5 linked regions of the Xenopus tropicalis genome follow. The protein of the gene in region 1 interacts with the protein of each later gene in a biochemical or structural test. Links are inferred from orthologs where the notes say so. Each region holds a gene or a part of one and is shown on either strand. Other genes may lie near its edges.

Region 1 (4,061 bases):
TGAATGGTGTGTGACCTGTAGGTTGGTGTCTGACAGAATCTTCCTTATAATCAGGTGCGGGCCAAGCCGACCGGGTGCCCTAGGCAACCCGGTCAGCCAACTCCGCCCACCTCCCCGCCCCCCCAATGGCGCATGCGCGCCAAAGCACAGGAGGAGGTGCAGGGGGCAGTGCGATGATCAGTCATTGCCTCCACCGCTAAGCATTAGCGGTGGAGGCAATGACAAAGTAGAACTAGGGGTAGGCAGGAGAGGCTGCCTGGCACCCCTCAATCGTTGCGCCCTAGGCAGCTGCCTCTTCTGACTACCCCTAGTTCCGGCCCTGCTTATAATGGTTCCGTTTACTCTGGTCAGATGTCCCACGAGAGATTCAAGCCAGGCCTGTATTTATATATAAACAGCATTTGGGGAGGTGCCCCTTTACAGTAATCTTTGCAGCTCTCTATACCAACATATATTTATTAGTATACTAAAGGGAGGGTAGTATTAGGCTAATTCGATCAGACAAATGATCAAATTCCAATGGCGGGCATAGGTGCCTTTGGAGCGCATCAAGAAGCCGATGTGATCCCCGATTCGACAGGAAAATCAAACCCACTCAATCGAGATCTGCCCAATTCTAGACCAGATATCTGTTAGGGAGGCCTGTTGGGAGTGCCCATTTACAGGCAGATAAGCTGCCAAAATGGTATGAAGGACTTAAATCAGCAGATGAAATCGGCCCATGTATGGCCACCTTTAGGGCAGTGACACACAGGGAGATTAGTTGCACCACTATGAATCTTCCTTACCACAGGCGACTAATCTCCCCCCAATGCCATTCCACTGGCAAGAATGTTTCCTTGAGAGGAAACTTGGGGAAATTGTAGCAACACGTGTGCCACCCTACTGGCAATTCACATTCTTGCCGGTGGTACGGCATTATATGCCCGCAGAAACAATGTTGCGGTGCGACTAATCTCCCAGCCTGCCACTGCCCAATAGAGTTTAGAAGCCCACACAAATGTCTTCTAGTCCGAAATGCCTGGCACCCTTTTAATGGCACACAGGTTACTCTGATTTCCACTCATTCATTACAAAAGTGCTGCCTAACCACGTATGAATACAACCTACCCATTTTTCTGTTGCTCCCAGTTGTAAGCTGGAGAGTCACCTTCTACAATCAGCAACTGTGCAAACTTGCGCCCAGGCCCACATGACTACCAACCTTAATCTAAACAAAGGCCGCCCCGCCTCCGACTTAATCGCCTCTGACGCGAAGCAGCTCGACTGCATGTGGGGTAATAAAGAGCCAGCAGCCAATCAGATGTCCAGCATACGATGATAGGCGGAGCTACGCGGTAAAGCCGTGCGCTGCTGCTGTTGCTGAGTGCTGGGGCAGTGGAAGTGTGCGGTGGGACATACCGTGCGGGGGGCTGTCATCGAGTGTGTGGTTTCGGTTGTGTGCCCGGCTCCCCCCATGTGTAGCTGAATACTCTGAAGCAAAGAGAATGCAGCCGGTGCCAAAGGGAAGTAAAGCGAACCCCTCGCAGCATGCCAACTTTTGCTCCAAGATCTTCTTCTGGTAAGCGCTGCTTTCCTGTTGCTAATGCCACACACACAGGGATCTTTATGTCGCTCTGTCTGTCATGTGGCTAGTTACTTGAACTATATATAATATTAGATAAGCAGTCAGGACCTGCATGCTCGGTGCACTTTGTTTCGTGCCCTTCGTGAACTACTTCAGTAACCTTTGCACATTCTCTCACCTTTTAATTGCCTTTATGTCTGCCTTTGGCTCCGTGCCATGTGGTACTTACTGATGTGCGTCTGCTGCTCCCCCCCCACCCCACCATCTTTCACCCGGATACATAGAATAGTAGTAGAGCCAATGTCATGTACCTTAATAGGAATGTAATGCAGGGTCTCTAGTAATGGGCACTGAGACTTGAGGGGCACAGAGCAGCGCTATTCAACATGAATAGTTGTGCAGTTTGGGCTATAGCTCCAAGAACACTGCAGATTTATTCATTTGTTTCAAATGTAACTGTATATTAAGGCAAGATGTTTTTTAAAATTGGCCTCATTGGCCCAGTATTCATTATGAGTTAGGGAAGTCTGGGGTGTGGGGGGGTAATTGATTGTGTGCTCTTGATCCCCCCTGGAATACCGTGTATGACAACCACAGCTCTACATGTCCCTTGGCAGGTCCCCTAATGCTGTTCATCTGGAGGGCTTGCTCTGTGATGTTTGGGCAGCCCTGCATTGCCCCAAGTACCACCAGTAATAACACTGTCCTCTTACTCATTTGTATACATAGTCCAAGTTCTATAGGTCTACGAACTATTGCCAGTGTCATATACATGTTGTGGGCTTTAGTGTGAATTAAAACATAGACATTTACAAATCATTATGGACCATGTGTTATGGGAACCTCCGGAACTGCAGGAAAAGTATGTCAAAGAAATAAGTGCCTGGCAGGGGTCTGATAAAGATATATATATATATGAAGGTGCAGAAAATAAAATTATTTATTCACTTCAGAATACTGCGCCATTCAACTTGCTTGCATTAACTCCCAAAGAATAGTCAGGGACCCTTTCCCTCTGGTGACTTTTGTGGTCATAGTGTTCTTCCTTTCCAGGAAGTTGTGGTACCTTTGTGGTACATATATAGCCCCCCCCCCTGCGTCGTTTCTGCTGTTGTAAACAGCAACAAATAACAAGAAGCTCCTCTGGCTACAGGGTGTTTAATAAGTATGCACAAACTGCCTGTAAGGAACCTCAGCATCCCTGAAACTCAGTGTGGGCCACTTGCTAGGTTAATCAGATAATAGAGCCTTTCCAGCAGAATTTTATTTTGAAATATCACATGGGTCTAGCGGCTAGCCATATCCTTCTTTTCTCAGGGTACCACAGCCATGTGACCTGTGCTCTGATATACTTTAGTCACTCTTTATTGCTGCGCTGCAAGTTGGAGTTACATCACCCCCCTCCCTTTCTCCCCCAGCAGCCGATCAACAGAACAATGGGAAGGGAGCAAGATAGCAGCTCCCTGATACCTGTATTGCTAAAAGTGGTAGAATAGCACTCAATAGTAAAAAATCAAAGTCCGGCTTGGGACTCCTCCAGTTACACTGAACATGAGAAACAATGGGTTACCTGAAAGAAGTTTTAATGTGTAGCGCTGGCTCGTTCTGAAAGCTCACAATCAGCCTCATGAGATGGCGCCTACACACCAATATTACATCTACAAAAAAAATACATTTGTTGGTTCAAGAATAAAATTTTAAATGGTAGAGTGAATTTTTTGTAATGTAAACAGTGTAATTTAGAAATAAAAAGTATACCTAAAATCATGACAGAATCCCTTTAACAGAATATTTACTACATTAGAGGTCATTATTACCGGTTGATTGTTTTTTTTTTTTTAACACTTATGCAAACCACACAAAAGGTAACTGTAACTAAGAGTCTGTTTAGTACCATTGTAATATAATTCTGTGTATATTTCAGTTACAGTTTGCAATCTTTGCACCAATTTCTGCTATTTAATTTGACTTCCCAAAATAATATAAGTTATATACAAAATTATTAGTCAGAGGTAATACATGCCTTGGTTAGATTTTTCAGTGATCCTAAGAAGGTGCAAAGTTTTGAGTAAAGTTGGCAAGCAGCCGTGTGATGCATTGACATACAGTAACAGAACAAAGGTTGGCACGAGACTCTAATTTCTCTTACGATTTTTCCCGTATCTGCCCTTGGATTTCACTTCAGGATTTAAAAGCTTTTCAGTAGATAATTTATTCAATATTTCATAGTTGTGTGTGCACTTACAGTGTATATACACTGTAAAATGGTATAAATATATAATGCAAATAAACTGTACATGTGGAGTGTTTTGACTACAGCTGTGCTCAGAAGAAAACAGTAATATAATTTTCAATACTGTTATTAATATTAGCATAATAGTACAGTTGTAAATTAAAAGTTCACTTGCCCTTTATTGATCATCTTTTCTCTTCTCCATTTCTGTCTCCATATGGAAATACATAACTTAACATATCTATATAATTGTCCTGTCCT
Region 2 (4,233 bases), on another chromosome or scaffold:
GCAGATCAGAAGCCATTTTCCCAGGAGCCTCCTCTTCCTGCTGCTGTGGGGCCTATGAGATAAGCCGCACTGTGATTGTGGCTGGACACTTGCCTCACTGGGCAGGAATGTGGCGCAGTTGTTGGTGTGTGAGTGTTTAGGTGCCTATCAGTTTACTAGTGCCGCAGTGTGTTTGGCTCTGGGTGTGTGTGTGGGCAAGCCAAGGGGGGAGAGTAAGGCTAGGGGAGCCCAGGACAAAATATTCTGTGTGGGTCCAATTAGGTATAATACAACCTGAAGCCCTTCAGCTCTTACTGCAAGTTCCAGCCTCCCCCCTATAAACATGTTGCAATAGCTAGAGTTGGAGGCTGGCCAGATAGAAAGTGCTACTGACACATGGGGGCAAACTATGCCAGCGTCACTATTTCAGCCCAGTGGTAACGCAACTCTACAAAGGCAGGAAAGGGCAGCCATGAATGAGAGTGACAGGGGGCACTGATGTACAGACGCAGGGCTGGGGCACTGCCAGCAACAGTCACGGGACATATAGGGCAATAATTGGCACCATCATTTACATGTAAGCTGGATAGGGAGTTGGGCACCGAGGCAAGGGGCATTGGCTTAGTCAGAAAGAGGCACAGTTTGGCACAAATAATGAGAGATGGGCATATTAAGCTGGCAGGCATTAATAGCATAGTGAGAGTTGGGCATGAAATCCCAAGGGAACTGAGGTAGTAGCTTTGGCACTGCCAGAGAGACACATTATTATGGCACAATGAGGTGAGGGCACAGTGAGAGGTCTGAATAATAATAAGAGTGACAGGAATGCCAAGTTAGAGTTATACACAACAACATGGTAGGCTGGGATGCCGCCTTGAGATTTGGCATGCACACTAGAATGAGGTGGATAGAAATGCCACACAGAGCTGGGCAACATAATGAGCACTGGTTGGCACAAAATGACAGGCTTAACCATAATGAAGGTGGGTGCATTTCTTGGGTACTGAGGGAAATCTAGGCACTATAATAGGGGCAATAAGTGATGCCACAGTGAAAGCAGAACACTGAACTGGGCTACTTAGTAATGCCAAAGTAAAATGTGGGCACAGTATCGGGGTATTAGCCAGAAATGCCCTAGAAAAAGGTGGGCAGGGAGTTTATTGTACCAAAGTAGTGAGTAATGCCAGTATGAAAGCTGGGCACTGTAGCACTGCACTGGGAGGGTTAATACTGCCGGAGGGAAAGTTGGGCACTGCATACTTTGTAATTGTGCCCTGGACACTATTTTGGGCTAATGTCAGTGTGGAAGCTGGGCGCTATAGCAGGGTACAATGGTCAAATGCCCTACACAGAGCTGGACCATGGTTGTTATGCCACTGTGGAACTTGGCACTATCATAGAGTACTAAGTAGGAATGCCCTCAACTGGGCACTACATTAGTTAATATTAACAGTGCTGGGCACTATAGCAGGGTAGTTAGTAATGCCAGTAGGAAAGCAGGGCATAGTAGCAGGGCACTGGAATGCCATACCGTTAGGGGGCTAGTTAGTAGTCATTGTAAGATTGGTTACTGGTGAGGAATTCCCAGGAGAAGGAGAGGGGGGCACAGTCAGTTAATGCCTGTGTAGGACTTGGCATGATAGCAGGGTAGTTAGTAAAGCCAGTGGGCACCATAGCAGGGAGTTAGTAAAGCCAGTGGGCACCATAGCAGGGAGTTAGTAAAGCCAGTGGGCACCATAGCAGGGAGTAAGTAAAGCCAGTGGGCACCATAGCAGGGAGTTAGTAATGCCAGTGGGCACCATAGCAGGGAGTTAGTAAAGCCAGTGGGCACCATAGCAGGGAGTTAGTAAAGCCAGTGGGCACCATAGCAGGGAGTTAGTAATGCCAGTGGGCACCATAGCAGGGAGTTAGTAAAGCCAGTGGGCACCATAGCAGGGAGTTAGTAAAGCCAGTGGGCACCATAGCAGGGAGTTAGTAATGCCAGTGGGCACCATAGCAGGGAGTTAGTAAAGCCAGTGGGCACCATAGCAGGGAGTTAGTAAGCCAGTGGGCACCATAGCAGGGAGTTAGTAATGCCAGTGGGCACCATAGCAGGGAGTTAGTAAAGCCAGTGGGCACCATAGCAGGGAGTTAGTAAAGCCAGTGGGCACCATAGCAGGGAGTTAGTAATGCCAGTGGGCACCATAGCAGGGAGTTAGTAAAGCCAGTGGGCACCATAGCAGGGAGTTAGTAAAGCCAGTGGGCACCATAGCAGGGAGTTAGTAATGCCAGTGGGCACCATAGCAGGGAGTTAGTAATGCCAGTGGGCACCATAGCAGGGAGTTAGTAATGCCAGTGGGCACCATAGCAGGGAGTTAGTAATGCCAGTGGGCACCATAGCAGGGAGTTAGTAATGCCAGTGGGCACCATAGCAGGGAGTTAGTAATGCCAGTGGGCACCATAGCAGGGAGTTAGTAATGCCAGTGGGCACCATAGCAGGGAGTTAGCCCAGGAGAGAAGGAAGGTGGGCTCCGAGCAGGGTACTTACCCTTGATGCTGACCCCCAGCCCCCCCGCATCCTGCTTGAGCACCCTGACAGTCCGGCGCAGGTTAATGAGAGACTCCGGGACCCCCCCCGCCGGCTCCGCGCCGTTCAGCGCCTTCTCCTCCGCTGCCCCGGGCTCCGGCTCCGGGGTGAAAGTCACAGTCTCCTCTCCGAGCAGCAGCAGTACCCGCACCCAGCGCTCCCCGGGACAGCGCAGCTCCAGCAGCCCGCTCCGGTGAGCCGTGCCCGGGGAAGCCATGGCCAGAGTGCCCGGACAGGGATAGAGGGAGGGGAGGGAGGGGGAGTGAGAGCGCCTCCCCGGGCTGGGGCTGCACATGTGGGACCGCCCTGCCCAGTCCTGTGCCCACTAAGTGCCACTCTGCCTCCCCTCACTCAGTCCTGTGCCCACTAAGTGCCACTCTGCCTCCCCTCACTCAGTCCTGTGCCCACTAAGTGCCACTCTGCCTCCCCTCACCCAGTCCTGTGCCCACTAAGTGCCACTCTGCCTCCCCTCACCCAGTCCTGTGCCCACTAAGTGCCACTCTGCCTCCCCTCACCCAGTCCTGTGCCCACTAAGTGCCACTCTGCCTCCCCTCACCCAGTCCTGTGCCCACTAAGTGCCACTCTGCCTCCCCTCACCCAGTCCTGTGCCCACTAAGTGCCACTCTGCCTCCCCTCACCCAGTCCTGTGCCCACTAAGTGCCACTCTGCCTCCCCTCACTCAGTCCTGTGCCCACTAAGTGCCACTCTGCATCCCCTCACCCAGTCCTGTGCCCACTAAATGCCACTCTGCCTCCCCTCACCCAGTCCTGTGCCCACTAAATACATCCCGTCATACTGCCCGACATACGGTGCCAACCTGTGCCCTCCTGTACCTGCTGTATAATGTCAGTACTGCCCACTACTCCCTGCCTACCTCAACACTCTGCCCACTACTCCCTGCCTACCTCAACACTCTGCCCACTACTCCCTGCCTACCTCAATACTCTGCCCACTACTCCCTGCCTACCTCTATATTCTGCCCACTACTCCCTGCCTACTTCAATACTCTGCCCACTACTCCCTGCCTCTATATTCTGCCCACTACTCCCTGCCTACCTCAACACTCTGCCCACTACTCCTGCCTCTATATTCTGCCCACTACTCCCTGCCTACCTCTATATTCTGCCCACTACTCCCTGCCTACCTCTATATTCTGCCCACTACTCCCTGCCTCTAAATTCTGCCCACTACTCCCTGCCTACCTCTATATTCTGCCCACTACTCCTGCCTACCTCTATATTCTGCCCACTACTCCCTGCCTACCTCTATATTCTGCCCACTACTCCCTGCCTACCTCTATATTCTGCCCACTACTCCCTGCCTACTTCAATACTCTGCCCACTACTCCCTGCCTCTATATTCTGCCCACTACTCCCTGCCTACCTCAACACTCTGCCCACTACTCCCTGCCTCTATATTCTGCCCACTACTCCCTGCCTACCTCTATATTCTGCCCACTACTCCCTGCCTACCTCTATATTCTGCCCACTACTCCCTGCCTACCTCTATATTCTGCCCACTACTCCCTGCCTACCTCAATACTCTGCCCACTACTCCCTGCCTACCTCTATATTCTGCCCACTACTCCCTGCCTACCTCAATACTCTGCCCACTACTCCCTGCCTACCTCTATATTCTGCCCACTACTGCCTGCCTACCTCTATATTCTGCCCACTACTCCCTGCCTC
Region 3 (3,512 bases), about 110 Mb from region 1:
GAGCAGTGAATTTTTCAAGCGCCCTGAGATAGGGAATTTTCTGATAACTTGTTATTCGAACGCTATTCAGAAATATTGCATTATTTGGTGGAGTACTGGGCATTTAGCCAGGTGATTCACTGCTCCTGCGTAATGAGTACCACAATGATACTTACCAGCTTATACAGTGAACACTCCAATTGATCCTCAGTATAAAGTAAATGTGGATTAAATAAAGACACAACACATGACTGTGGAATAAATTTATTACACGGATGGTGAGACTATTTTCAACTCTCTGTAAGGAATTTCCTCCTACTAATACTTACCGAAGTTATTTAATCACGAGTTTTTCTGTAAACTTCACAAAGCGCTCTGTGCAGATCAAAAACTTACCTGGGTAATAAAACTGCGAATTATAAAGGTTGAGATTAGTTTACTTACCTGGATATAAAGCCACGACTTTCCTTTAGAAGCCATACAGGATACTTCTGTGCAGACCAATTATAGAATTGTTACAAATGTAACTAAACAATTACGACACTAAAGATACCTTATTAAGTAACAATTTCTAGGAGTGAAAGAGCTAGAACTGCAACAGATTCAATGTGTGATAGTGTACATTTTAAAATTTCTTTTCTTTTTCTTTCTATCTATTTTAAGTATTTTAATACCAAGAAGTAAAAGTTATATTTTAATCCTAATAGGTGTGCCAGTCTTGCCTTTTTGTGTCTATAACACGATATAGTATCCATCAATATACGCAGCGCTTTAAAGAATAGAGGGGTACAAAATATAGAACAGTTAACATGTACATATAAACAATTCACAGAAATGGGTTGCAGTTACATTGGATGAGGATCGGAGGCACTAGGGGGAGGGCCCTGCTCGCAAGAGCTTACATTCTAAAAGGGGGGGCTAAGACATAAGGTCAGGGTAACTAGCATGGCGTTGGAGTTCGTGTAGGTGTGTAAAGTGACAGTAAGTGCGGAGGTGGAAACCAGTGGTTCCTGAGTGTTTGAGGGAAGATTAGGGGGGCTCAGTGGGGTAATCGTATTTGGGGGTTTAGGTTATAGGAGTGAAAAGGTGAGTTTTAAGAGACCATAAAGGCTTGGAGAGTCTGGCAGTGCCTAATGGGATGGGGAAGAGCGTTCCAGAGGATGGGTGCAGCACGTGAGAAGTCCTGGGTGCGAGAGTGAGAGGAGGTGATGAGTGAGGAGGAGAGAAGGAGGTGTAAAGCGAAGGGTATGTCTGGGGGTGCACTTGGGGATTAGGGGGGTTAAATAGAGCGGTGCGGCACCAGTGAGTGCTTTGTAGGTGGGTACAAGAATCTTGAACTGAATCCTGTACATGAGAGGTAACCAGTCCTGGGGTTGGCAGAGAGAGGCGGCACTTGGGGAGCGGGAGGAGAGGTGTATGAGTCTTCTGGCAGCACTGTTCATGATGGATTGGGGTGGGGTCAGTTTATACAGGGGAAGCCCACAGAGCAGTGAGTTGCAGTAGTTCTTTAGGAGAAGATTATTTGGGAAGAAAAATACCACAGACTACTTCAAAAACCATTGGTTCATTGGGGAATTGTTCTTGCGTTGATCATGAAACCTTCTTTCCTCCAGGAGTAATAGACCTCCTATTGCATAGTGGTTTAAAGGCAATGGGAAACACGGTGACTCCAGCCTTTTTCATAAGAAATGGTGTATCTACTACTAGTAGGCCCCATGACTGCACGGAATCCAAGGACAGACCTGTTAAGGAGTCTGTCTTCTACTTCCATACTCGCCCCCTTCATCCTTCCTGTGCCTGTCCCATAGCATCTTCCAGTGATGTCCTCCATAACCCTCTTGAAGAGGGGTTGGGGCGGAGAGGGGGTAGAGTTGGCTGGCATTTAGTGACAAATTGGATGGGGGCCAGAAAATGGTTTACAAGAAGGCCAGCTGGGTCACATTAAGTTAGACCTAATACCCCCTTTAGATGGTTGAATTGGGCAATCATGAAGTAGGAAGAGATTGGAAGGATCTTTCAGCACCAAGACATAAAAAACAAAGAGCAGAACTATCTAAAGAAGTGTTTATGGATAAAACCAATAATTTACTATGCGTTTAATGCTAAATGTTGTCACATTCAGGTGAGAATGGAATATTCTTGTCAGCGCTGGTACCCAATGGGATTGCAGCCAAAGCCGGCGTCAAGGACGACGATCGTATCATTGAAGTGAATGGAAAAAATGTAGAAGATTCCACTCATGACAAGTTGGCCAAAATGGTACGAGTGGGTGGGAATGGGAGTGATATTCACTGGCAGTGGGGGGTGTGATTTTCTGCTATATAGTAACGTAAATGCACCAAATCCCAAGCTTTTGAATGACTACAATATAATGCCTTCTACATTTGACCCAATTCATCCTTTACTCACATTATCTGACTGAAAGCAATTCTTTCCTTCAGCTGAAGGAATCGGGGGGCAAAATCATGTTCCTTGTCTCAGACAAGGCGACCGACGAGTACTTCAAGAGTCAGACGATGGCGATTACCGCAGACAAAGCCAACGTGGAGCTGCTGCCTTCTAAACCAAGAACCGTGGAGCTGAAGAAGGACACTAACGGCTACGGGTTTTATTTGCGGCAAGAAAAAAACCGTAAAGGTAAAAAAAATAGTGATTTGTTTGGATCTGTTATTATCCACACACCTCCTGTTGTAAAATATCCTTATAAATGGTGCTTGGGGATGTCATCAATTCTTAGTGATGTCACTTCTGTCACGTGACTCACTGGAACTTGTGTATTATAATAAATAATGTATCCCTTTTTTGTAAAATATGAGGATATTAGAAGCCACCTCAGAGTTCCACGGCCTGTATAAAAGCACAATGCCTGCAGCCTTGTGCCTTTATATGGTCATGGAACTTCTCAGTGACTGCTAATATCCTTATCATTTACAGTAGGGGGTACATTATCCCTTATAATACATGAGTGATACTCAGAGTTCCCTGTATAACTCAGCCTGCAGCCTTGTGCCTTTATATGGGGGGCACAGAACCCCTCAGTGACTGCTAATATCCTTATCATTTACAGTAGGGGGTACATTATCTCTTATAATACATGAGTGATACTCAGAGTTCCCTGTATAACTCAGCCTGCAGCCTTGTGCCTTTATATGGGCACAGAACCCCTCAGTGACTGCTAATATCCTTATCATTTACAGTAGGGGGTACATTATCCCTTATAATACATGAGTGATACTCAGAGTTCCCTGTATAACTCAGCCTGCAGCCTTGTGCCTTTATATGGGCACAGAACCCCTCAGTGACTGCTAATATCCTTATATTTTACAATAGGGGGTACATTACTCACGATATAGTATTGCTCGGTGACTTCAAATACCCTTCTAATTTACAGTAGAATAACTCTTTATGAACTGGCCCCATTTTCCATGTTGGTTACAGGTCACTTTATTATGGAGATTGACTCAGGGAGCCCAGCGGAGAAGGCCAAGCTGCAGGACTACGATCGCATCGTTGCAGTAAATGGAGAGTGTGTG
Region 4 (4,204 bases), on another chromosome or scaffold:
ACAGAGTTGGCTTGTTTTGCAGAGATACAAAAAGGATATTGGATATTTGTCTTCACAGTGATCACTGTGTGTCTGCTAACAGGCCCAATAAATGAAAACCTTTTTCAGATAAAATTGGACTTTTGTAGCCGATAATTTATTTGCAAGTGCTGGATCACTTTATTATATTATTGGTCCCTTCATTCCACCCCAAGACTATATATTCATGATTTGACCCAAACGGTCCAGAATTACCTTTCCTTCCCTCTGTGTTGATACTTATTGGAATAATTTCCCATGTTAACTGGAGCTTCATTTACATATATTCGGATTATAAAGTGCATGCCATTTTAAATTGAATACTTGAAAAAATATATAAAATATAAAGATTAGGGAGAGGGAGAACATAATATTTTAAATTATTTAGCATAATAACTATTCTTTAGGTAAAATGATACTTCCATGTCTAAGCAACACTGTTGCCATGGCTATATGACACTTTAGGGTCATAAGAGGCAACATTTTTCCAGTTAGACTTTTTTCTCACTAATATTTTCTATTTGACTAATAATTTGCCTGGAAGGTCAGTTTTGGATAGAGATTTTATTGGGTGGCAATCAATTTTTTTCAAATTTAAAATTGTACATGCTAGTGACCCTTTTGGAGGCTTAATAGGGCATCAGTAAATGCAGAATTGGGTGTAAGTCCAGCTCACCGTCACTTCTGCTTAGATCCACTTGCTTTCTAGTCTGTAAATATGTTTTTTTTTCCCCGTTTCTTTTAAATATCCAGCTTTTTTAAAACTATTTTTCCAGACCTCTGCCTATGTCCCTTTACTTACCATAGGTTCTTCGGTTTCTCTTTCAAACTGAACAAGTCGTACTCTCTTCTTTTCCTCTGTCCCTGAAGCTGCAGATCCATTTGTGTAAATCTCCTCTGTGTGAGAGCCGACACTGGTTTGATAGCCCTGTTGGGTACACTAGGTTTAGTACAAGCACAGATGAATTTACAAGTTTGCAATAATAGCTGAAAATAGCAAATTTCATCACACAGAGAATATATTAAGAACATTGCATCAATATTTCTGTCTAACATCATTCTGAAATGATGTAAAGCATTTGGTATAACTCATTACAGTTACCTTAAAACAAGAAAGGAGAGAGCAAAAGGGCTAGGTGACTACATGGAGAATAACAATATCTGTTGGGCTGGTGGGGGGCTGTTTCGGCCTCTATGTACTTGAAATGCCAGGGTCTATTTCAAATCCCAGTCTGGACCCTCAATAGCCATTCGCTTATGGAGTACAGGAGAAGATACACTCAGCCATTAACAGTGGCAAGCTATAAGAGTGACTTTTGGAACAGGTCCCCTTCCCCCTGCACCAGATGGAAGACCAGGGAGGGTAGTTACGCAACTGACTATGCCTGTAAACACTCATAAGCAGCTGAGCAGACATCTGTAAATTTTAGATCACCAAACGTAATTCTAAGCAACTTTCCAGTATACATTAAGTCAGCATTTTCAGTGGTTTTACAACATAGCAGAAACCAGCTGGAGACTAAATTCTACTACACCGTAGTCAGAACTGACAAACAGAAAGGGCTAAACTGATTTAGGTGGAAAGCAATATTTATAAATTTATCATTGACAATGTTGTATATTGGAATGTTGCTTACAATAATTTTTTTTCACTATATAAAGATATGAAGTTTTAGATTCCCTTTAAAATAAAGTTTTAAATCTTCAGAACTCGCACCCAGTGGTGTCTGCTCTACAGAATGGACAATTTCATAGGCGATTGGTGCAGGGCCACTTGTTTTGCAGCAGGGTTAGGGCAGTGGCACACGTGGAGATTAGTCGCCCGCGATAAATCTTCGCATCTACATGTCATCCGGTGGGATGGCATACATGCTTCCGTTTCCCGTAGTTTCTTTTAGAGGTAACTTCGGGAAACCAAAGCAACACGTATGCCATCCCACTGGTGATTTGCATTCTTGCGGGTGGGATGGTATGTCAAGATTAGTCGCCGGTGGTAACAAAGATTCATTTCGGAAACTAAACTCCATGTGTGCCACTGCCCTTGGGGTGAAGACCCATGGAGCTACTAGTAGCAGCTACTTGTTGGAGCTACTAAAACAGACAGTGTTCAGCATTTACTGATGACTGTCTCTAGGTGTGTTTTAGCAGAGGCTGTTCTCAGTATTGTCTATGGGAAGGTATTTTCTGGAGTTTAGTAGCAATGGAAAAGTAGCTGCTACTAGTAGCCCGGTGTGCCTTTACTCGCTTGTGATCTCTGTACTCTGCACATGTCCCTCCATTCAGCAGCCTATTATCTGTACCATGGCCTCGTTTTCGCTGATCCTCTATTTTCTTATCAGCTGACAAGTAGAAGAGCAAAGATCATCGCGCAGAGAAACCGCAATGCTAACCCCATACTCGCCGGTTCGCAAAAGGCTATAGTATGTTTAAATCACACAGAAAATGAATTCTAATATACTGCGATATAAATCTCCCAGGAAATGAGGGAGCTCGCAATATGAGACCTGCAGTTCGGTTACCTGATACTGACGGCATCAGAATGGTTTCCCTGTTTGTAGCTCTTACCTTGGCTGAGCCCCGGTTTTGCAGCAGGGTCTCCAGATACAGGTCTGACAGGGCAGTCCTCACACTGGAACTGTCACACAACGGGGTCTCTGCGCGCTCAAACTTCATTGACATCCTGAGACGAGGTATTCCGCCTTCCTAGGTGTTTCCACTGTATAAACCTGCACCGGTTTATACTATCGAACCCCTCTGCCTCTTCTCCTTTATCTCCCAAGGAATAGGCTGAGTCAGTGAACAGTGTCTAAGAGAGATAGAGGATTCAGACGCCTACCATGACGTATCAGGGGAGTCCTTACCGAATTTTTTTTTTTTTTTTTAATACTGTTTAGAAACCGCTGTCCACGTGTATTTCCAGCCTGATGTTTGGCTTTGCGCATTACAGATTTACTAAATATTCAGATAGGTTTAACATTCTTTTAATAACGCAACAAAACGAGCCGATGGTTGCGTTCCCTATGTCCTCAAAAAAATGTGTTCTCCCGAGTCACATGACCTGTGATGCTTGTCATATGAACAGGGAATCGCAAGAGGGGGAAGGAGGGGGTCGAGGTAGAGAAAAATAAGGGCCGGAAGGGGAGACGAATGTGTTAATATTGGTACTCGTAATTGTATGAAACAGCATGAGGTGTAGTTTTAATGCCAATACGACTAAATAACGCGTGAAAAATATACTCGTAGTCTTTATTTGGTGTCAATAAGGCACACTAATAGCGCGTTCTTTGAAAATATTGCTATTGCCCTTGAAACAGTGGTTGCCAAACTGAGTCTGAAATGGGGTTAGCCTGAAGGCAAGTTAAGAAGACATTTGGGTAAACTGCAGGTTTTCTCCTTGTAAGCCAATTCAAGGTGAGTTAGAGTGATTTGTAGTACCTCTGCTGGGTCTTCTAACCAGCCAATATGGTAGGGCAGAGGAGTGACAGTGGTGGGGTGATGAGGCCAGAGGGCATTATTTTAATGCAAGTAGGGGGTGAAACTGGGCGGCAGGGAGTAGGGCTGCCTCTATTGAATGTTGTGTGCTATGGCAGTGGGGCGCAGTAGGTGACATTGGGCCTGAGGCTATAATACAGCAGACCTTGGTTGGTTGGAATATGCTTCAATCGAGGTTGAACACTATGAGTTTCAGACTTCTAAAATCTGGACATGCAGTTTTAACCCATACAGCTCTTGTAAAGACAAGGACAGGTAGCAACCCTGGTAGGGAGGAGGAAAAGTTAGGGGCATTATAATATACTGCCAATACAATTGCTTCCGGCCTTAGCTGGTAACATACTGGCAGAGTGGCAGCCTTGTTGTGAGCTAAGAGTGACTCTGTCCAAATGTTGGGCTGTTAGGCCTCGAAGGGAGGGGGGGGGGGGGGGCTAGAATGATGAAATACGGTCAGATTTCTACGATTTGAATATCCTAAACAGTGTATGTGTGCACATAAGTTCTTATGGTATTTTCCCACAAGTATTTAAACCCCCACAAAAAAAATTGTGAATGGTCATATTAGTGTAGGGATCTCCAAAATTGGCCCCTAGGTTGGTTACCCCCAGGATAGACCCAAAGGGTGGGTGATACTGTAATAGTGCAACACCTTGGGTGGGTTGGCACCTAAATAGTTAATAGGTAATTAGCTTCC
Region 5 (4,287 bases), on another chromosome or scaffold:
GCTCACACAGGCAAAAGGGATCCACAAGTGGGCTTTAATATGGGGCTCGCTACAGGGGTGCTACTCTGGATGCCTGGCTCCCCCATCATTCACAGAACCCACCACCAACCAAACTCATGGGGAACAGGGCATCACAGCTGGGTGGGGGAGGGATTCCCCTATAGTTAACCCACTGGTTCTCCTAGTGCACCCTGACTTGTGTGGTTCTAACCGAGGGGCGTTCTAGGGGGACCCCATGTGCTGCACACCCAGCAGGGTTGGACTGGGGGGTGCAGGGCCCACCGGGGCTCCCGCCCCAGGGGCCCTGCAAGTGCCCCAGCCGCGTCCCCTAACCCCCCCAGGGGCCCCCCTAACCCCCCCGCCTGACGTCCTCCCCGAGCGCGTATAAATTGAACGCGTCAGGGGAGGAACAGTCAGTAGGGGGAGCGCCGGCAAAGGTCGGACTGGGCCCACTAGGGCGGCCCAGTCCGACCCTGGCACCCAGTGTTGGACCAGCCAACCATGATACCAGGAAAACTCCCGCTGGGCCCAGGGGTCAGTGGGCCTTCCTGCTCCTGACCATTTGGCCTGTTTCATGGTCATTCCCTATTTCTGAATGGGAAGAAAGAGAAGGAATAGATGGAAGAATAGATGCTAGCATGTAAATAAAACAGACTAGGAGAATAAAATGGTTGTGAAGAAAGGAGGATATTTTGGAGAATGGGCCCATGGTCTTAGGTTCTCTGGTGGGCCCCTGGGGTCCCAGTGCGCACCTCTGCCGCTTCCGAATTCAGCATATATATTGTGTCATGCACAGCTCTCTAGAATGGCACCCCGGTGAGCAAATAACACTGAGCTAAACAGCACAATAATGGTAGCCTCAGTGAGGGGCAGTGCCTGAGGAGCTGTATGAGGCGAGGGGCAGGTGCATGCCAGGGTACTGGGGAGTTGTACTGCTCCCTCCTCTCACATTCTTTGGATGCCTCAAGCTGCTCATTAATCTCCAGTGCAAAGTCCCCATGCTGAATGCACTAATTGCTCACTATTATAAACACTGCTGCCATCATCAACCCCCCCACCCCTCCCCTCACTGGCACAGCTCCACCCTGCTGCCTGAGGTGCTGCAATAATACTCTATGTTCTGTCATACTCAGTTGGGTCAGTCTATGTACAGGTTTATAGATGCTGCTTGGATGTCAAATGACCCATTAAAGTGGTTTCACTGACAGCAGACATGTAAAGATGCCACCTGTGCCTATGGGCCGTATTATATTCCCCGGGTCACATGACTCGGCGGCACTGATTAAACTTTACTCTGAGGGCCCGAATCCCGCGTAAGCTCATTGGAATAGGCGCGCCTCTCTCTGAACTTTCTCCTCCAATCACGTCCCTCGGCAATACTGTCCCCGCCCTCTTATTGGACATCTCTCATATTTGTCACCGCCGCGCCCTCCCTTTCGCTATATAATCTATAAGCTGGCAGAGCCTGAGTTCAGTCAGGCGCAGAGTAGCGGCTCGATATGGCTTCGGAGCGGGTGTGCGTGTTGGAAAAGGGGGATTCGGGCTACGGGTTTCATCTGCACAGTGAGAAGACCCGGCCGGGCCAGTATGTGAGGCTGGTGGAGCCTGGCTCAGCAGCTGAGAAAGCAGGACTGAGGGCAGGGGACCGGCTCATCCGGGTGTGCGGGGAGGATGTGAGGGAACTCGGGCACCAGCAGGTGGTGAGCAAAATCCGGGCAGCGACTGAGAAACTCACCTTGGAGGTACAGGGAGTAGAGGAGGAGGTGGCCCCCAGCTCCCCTAAAGAAGAAAACAAGGTACTCGGCTCAGAGCGAATTATGGGGGCAGCCTGGCGAGCCCACTGCACCTGGTCACATGACTTGCCTACTGGAGTCCTGCTGATAATAGCTTCCCCTTCAGTATGGGGGGGTCGGGGCAGTTTGCTGGCTTTATACGTAGTATCCTACCCCTGCTAAGTGATGCCATGCAGTGCCAGGGTATATACTGCTCTTGCTAGAGTTTCTAATGCTGAACTTGTGTTTGCATAGTGGATAATGTACCCCCTATTGTAAAATATAAGGATATTATAAGTCAGAGAGGAGTTCCTTATAATATATAGTGACTAAAGTACCCCCTATTGTAACATATAGGGATATTATAAGTCCCTGAGGAGTTCCTTATAATATATAGTGAATAAAGTACCCCCTATTGTAACATATATGGATTTTATAAGCCCCTGAGGAGTTCCTTATAATATATAGTGAATAAAGTACCCCCTATTGTAACATATAGGGATATTATAAGTCACAGAGGGGTTCCTTATAATATATAGTGAATAAAGTCCCCCCTATTGTAACATAGGGATATTATAAGTCACAGAGGGGTTCCTTATAATATATGGTGAATAAAGTACCCCCTATTGTAACATATAGGGATTTTATAAGTCACAGAGGGGTTCCTTATAATATATAGTGAATAATGTACCCCCTATTGGAACATATAGGGATATTATAAGTCACAGAGGAGTTCCTTATATAGTGAATAAAGTACCCCCTATTGTAACATATAGGGATTTTATAAGTCACAGAGGGGTTCCTTATAATATATAGTGAATAAAGTGCCCCCTATTGTAACATATAGGGATATTATAAGTCACAGAGGAGTTCCTTATATAGTGAATAAAGTACCCCCTATTGTAACATATAGGGATTTTATAAGTCACAGAGGGGTTCCTTATAATATATAGTGAATAAAGTGCCCCCTATTGTAACATATAGGGATTTTATAAGTCACAGAGGGGTTCCTTATAATATATAGTGAATAATGTACCCCCTATTGGAACATATAGGGATATTATAAGTCACAGAGGAGTTCCTTATAATATATAGTGAATAATGTACCCCCCTATTGTAAAATATAAGGATATTATAAGTCACAGAGGAGTTCCTTTACTATATAAAAGCATGAGCTGAAGGCTGACTTGTAATATCCTCATATTTTACAACAGGGGGCACTTTATTATAATATCCAAGTTTTAGTGATTTGTGTGACAGAAATTACATCACTGAGCTCTGATTATAACTGATGACATCACTAGGCACCGTTTATAAGGATCCCATAGGGGAGTGATCAAACTGTAAATTATAAAGATATAATCAAAGAGCCATGATTTCCTGTAAAATGGGTTCTTCTACGTGGTGCATAGTGATGTCATCAGTTATCTTTAATTTTAATGATGTAATTTGTCATATGACTCACTGTGTCTATAAAAACCGTACCACTATTATATAATATGATATTAGAAGTCACCATTTGTTCCATGACCAATAGAACGCCTTGTGGTTTTAGACTGGTCATGGAATGCCAACAACCATTGACCTCATGTCCTTATATCAGTGATCCTCAACCAGTGGCTCAGGGGCAACTTGTTGCTCCCCAACCCCTTGGATGTTGCTCCCAGTGGCCTTCAAACAGGGGCTTATTTTTGAATTCCTGGCTTGGGGGCAAGTTTTGGAGGCATAAAAAACAGGTGTACTGCCAAACAGAGCCTCCTGTAAGCTGCCAGTCCATATAGGGGCTACCAAATAGCCAATCACAGCCCTTATTTGGCACCCCTAGGAACAGGTTTCATGCTCGTGTTGCTCCCCAAGTCTTTTTACATTTGAATGTGGCTCACAGGTAAAAAAGGTTTGGGACACCTGCCTTATATGGATCTCTTTAACTTTTAATATCCTTATAATTTACAATTGGGGGTACGCTATTCTCCGTTTAGTGGATCGGCCACACACGGCAGCCAAGCTGATGATGGATGCCGCTGTCATTAGTGGGAAGCAAACTATGGGCCAGAGAGTAATCGGGACCCCACAGGGTATAAGTTCCAGGAAAGGCTTCTAGGAAGGGACTTTATAACAGAGGCTCGGCTGTCTCGGCACAACTATTCTAGATACAAAGTCAGTTGCAGCTCAACAAGCTTTTTGCCCCTGGGCCTTGCCAGCACTAAAGACAGCCCTGGCATGGCACCGCTCCAGTCTGGTGTGGCAGCTTCAGCTGGGTACCTGAGTGCCTCAGTTGCCTGGCATGAATCCTAGACTTGGGTATTTAATTCTTTCTATAGAGAAGGGTATATAGTACCCTATGTGTTGGTGGTGGTGGAGCTGTGCCATTATCCTGGATTGGCATCAATTACCAGCCTATGTACCAATCAGAACCCCCCCCCTCCTCCTCCAAGTAGAACTGACATATGTTTCTGAGTAATGCCCACTTTATCTAGACCAATGATCCCCAACCAGTGGCTTGGGGCAACATGTT

The links.
Region 2: the proteins of abcc4 (region 1) and snta1 form a complex in vitro, tested with the Homo sapiens proteins (2 studies listed by BioGRID and IntAct, with this or other methods). The link is inferred for Xenopus tropicalis from reciprocal best matches to the Homo sapiens genes ABCC4 and SNTA1.
Region 3: the proteins of abcc4 (region 1) and pdzk1 form a complex in vitro, tested with the Homo sapiens proteins (2 studies listed by BioGRID and IntAct, with this or other methods). The link is inferred for Xenopus tropicalis from reciprocal best matches to the Homo sapiens genes ABCC4 and PDZK1.
Region 4: the proteins of abcc4 (region 1) and mpp1 form a complex in vitro, tested with the Homo sapiens proteins (2 studies listed by BioGRID and IntAct, with this or other methods). The link is inferred for Xenopus tropicalis from reciprocal best matches to the Homo sapiens genes ABCC4 and MPP1.
Region 5: the proteins of abcc4 (region 1) and slc9a3r1 form a complex in vitro, tested with the Homo sapiens proteins (3 studies listed by BioGRID and IntAct, with this or other methods). The link is inferred for Xenopus tropicalis from reciprocal best matches to the Homo sapiens genes ABCC4 and NHERF1.

What each region holds. Positions count from the first base shown.
Region 1 is NC_030678.2:122,375,912-122,379,972, forward strand, and holds the start of abcc4 (multidrug resistance-associated protein 4), read left to right. Parts: upstream 1-1,254; 5' UTR 1,255-1,487; coding exon 1,488-1,561; intron 1,562-4,061. UniProt on the Homo sapiens protein: ATP-dependent transporter of the ATP-binding cassette (ABC) family that actively extrudes physiological compounds and xenobiotics from cells.
Region 2 is NC_030686.2:41,868,224-41,872,456, reverse strand, and holds the start of snta1 (alpha-1-syntrophin), read right to left. Parts: upstream 2,806-4,233; 5' UTR 2,763-2,805; coding exon 2,507-2,762; intron 1-2,506. UniProt on the Homo sapiens protein: Adapter protein that binds to and probably organizes the subcellular localization of a variety of membrane proteins. May link various receptors to the actin cytoskeleton and the extracellular matrix via the dystrophin glycoprotein complex.
Region 3 is NC_030678.2:8,067,086-8,070,597, forward strand, and holds part of pdzk1 (Na(+)/H(+) exchange regulatory cofactor NHE-RF3), read left to right. Parts: intron 1-2,101; coding exon 2,102-2,238; intron 2,239-2,420; coding exon 2,421-2,616; intron 2,617-3,417; coding exon 3,418-3,512. UniProt on the Homo sapiens protein: A scaffold protein that connects plasma membrane proteins and regulatory components, regulating their surface expression in epithelial cells apical domains.
Region 4 is NC_030680.2:40,899,034-40,903,237, reverse strand, and holds the start of mpp1 (55 kDa erythrocyte membrane protein), read right to left. Parts: upstream 2,808-4,204; 5' UTR 2,698-2,807; coding exon 2,584-2,697; intron 947-2,583; coding exon 821-946; intron 1-820. UniProt on the Homo sapiens protein: Essential regulator of neutrophil polarity. Regulates neutrophil polarization by regulating AKT1 phosphorylation through a mechanism that is independent of PIK3CG activity.
Region 5 is NC_030686.2:43,958,972-43,963,258, forward strand, and holds the start of slc9a3r1 (Na(+)/H(+) exchange regulatory cofactor NHE-RF1), read left to right. Parts: upstream 1-1,480; 5' UTR 1,481-1,499; coding exon 1,500-1,796; intron 1,797-4,287. UniProt on the Homo sapiens protein: Scaffold protein that connects plasma membrane proteins with members of the ezrin/moesin/radixin family and thereby helps to link them to the actin cytoskeleton and to regulate their surface expression. Necessary for recycling of internalized ADRB2.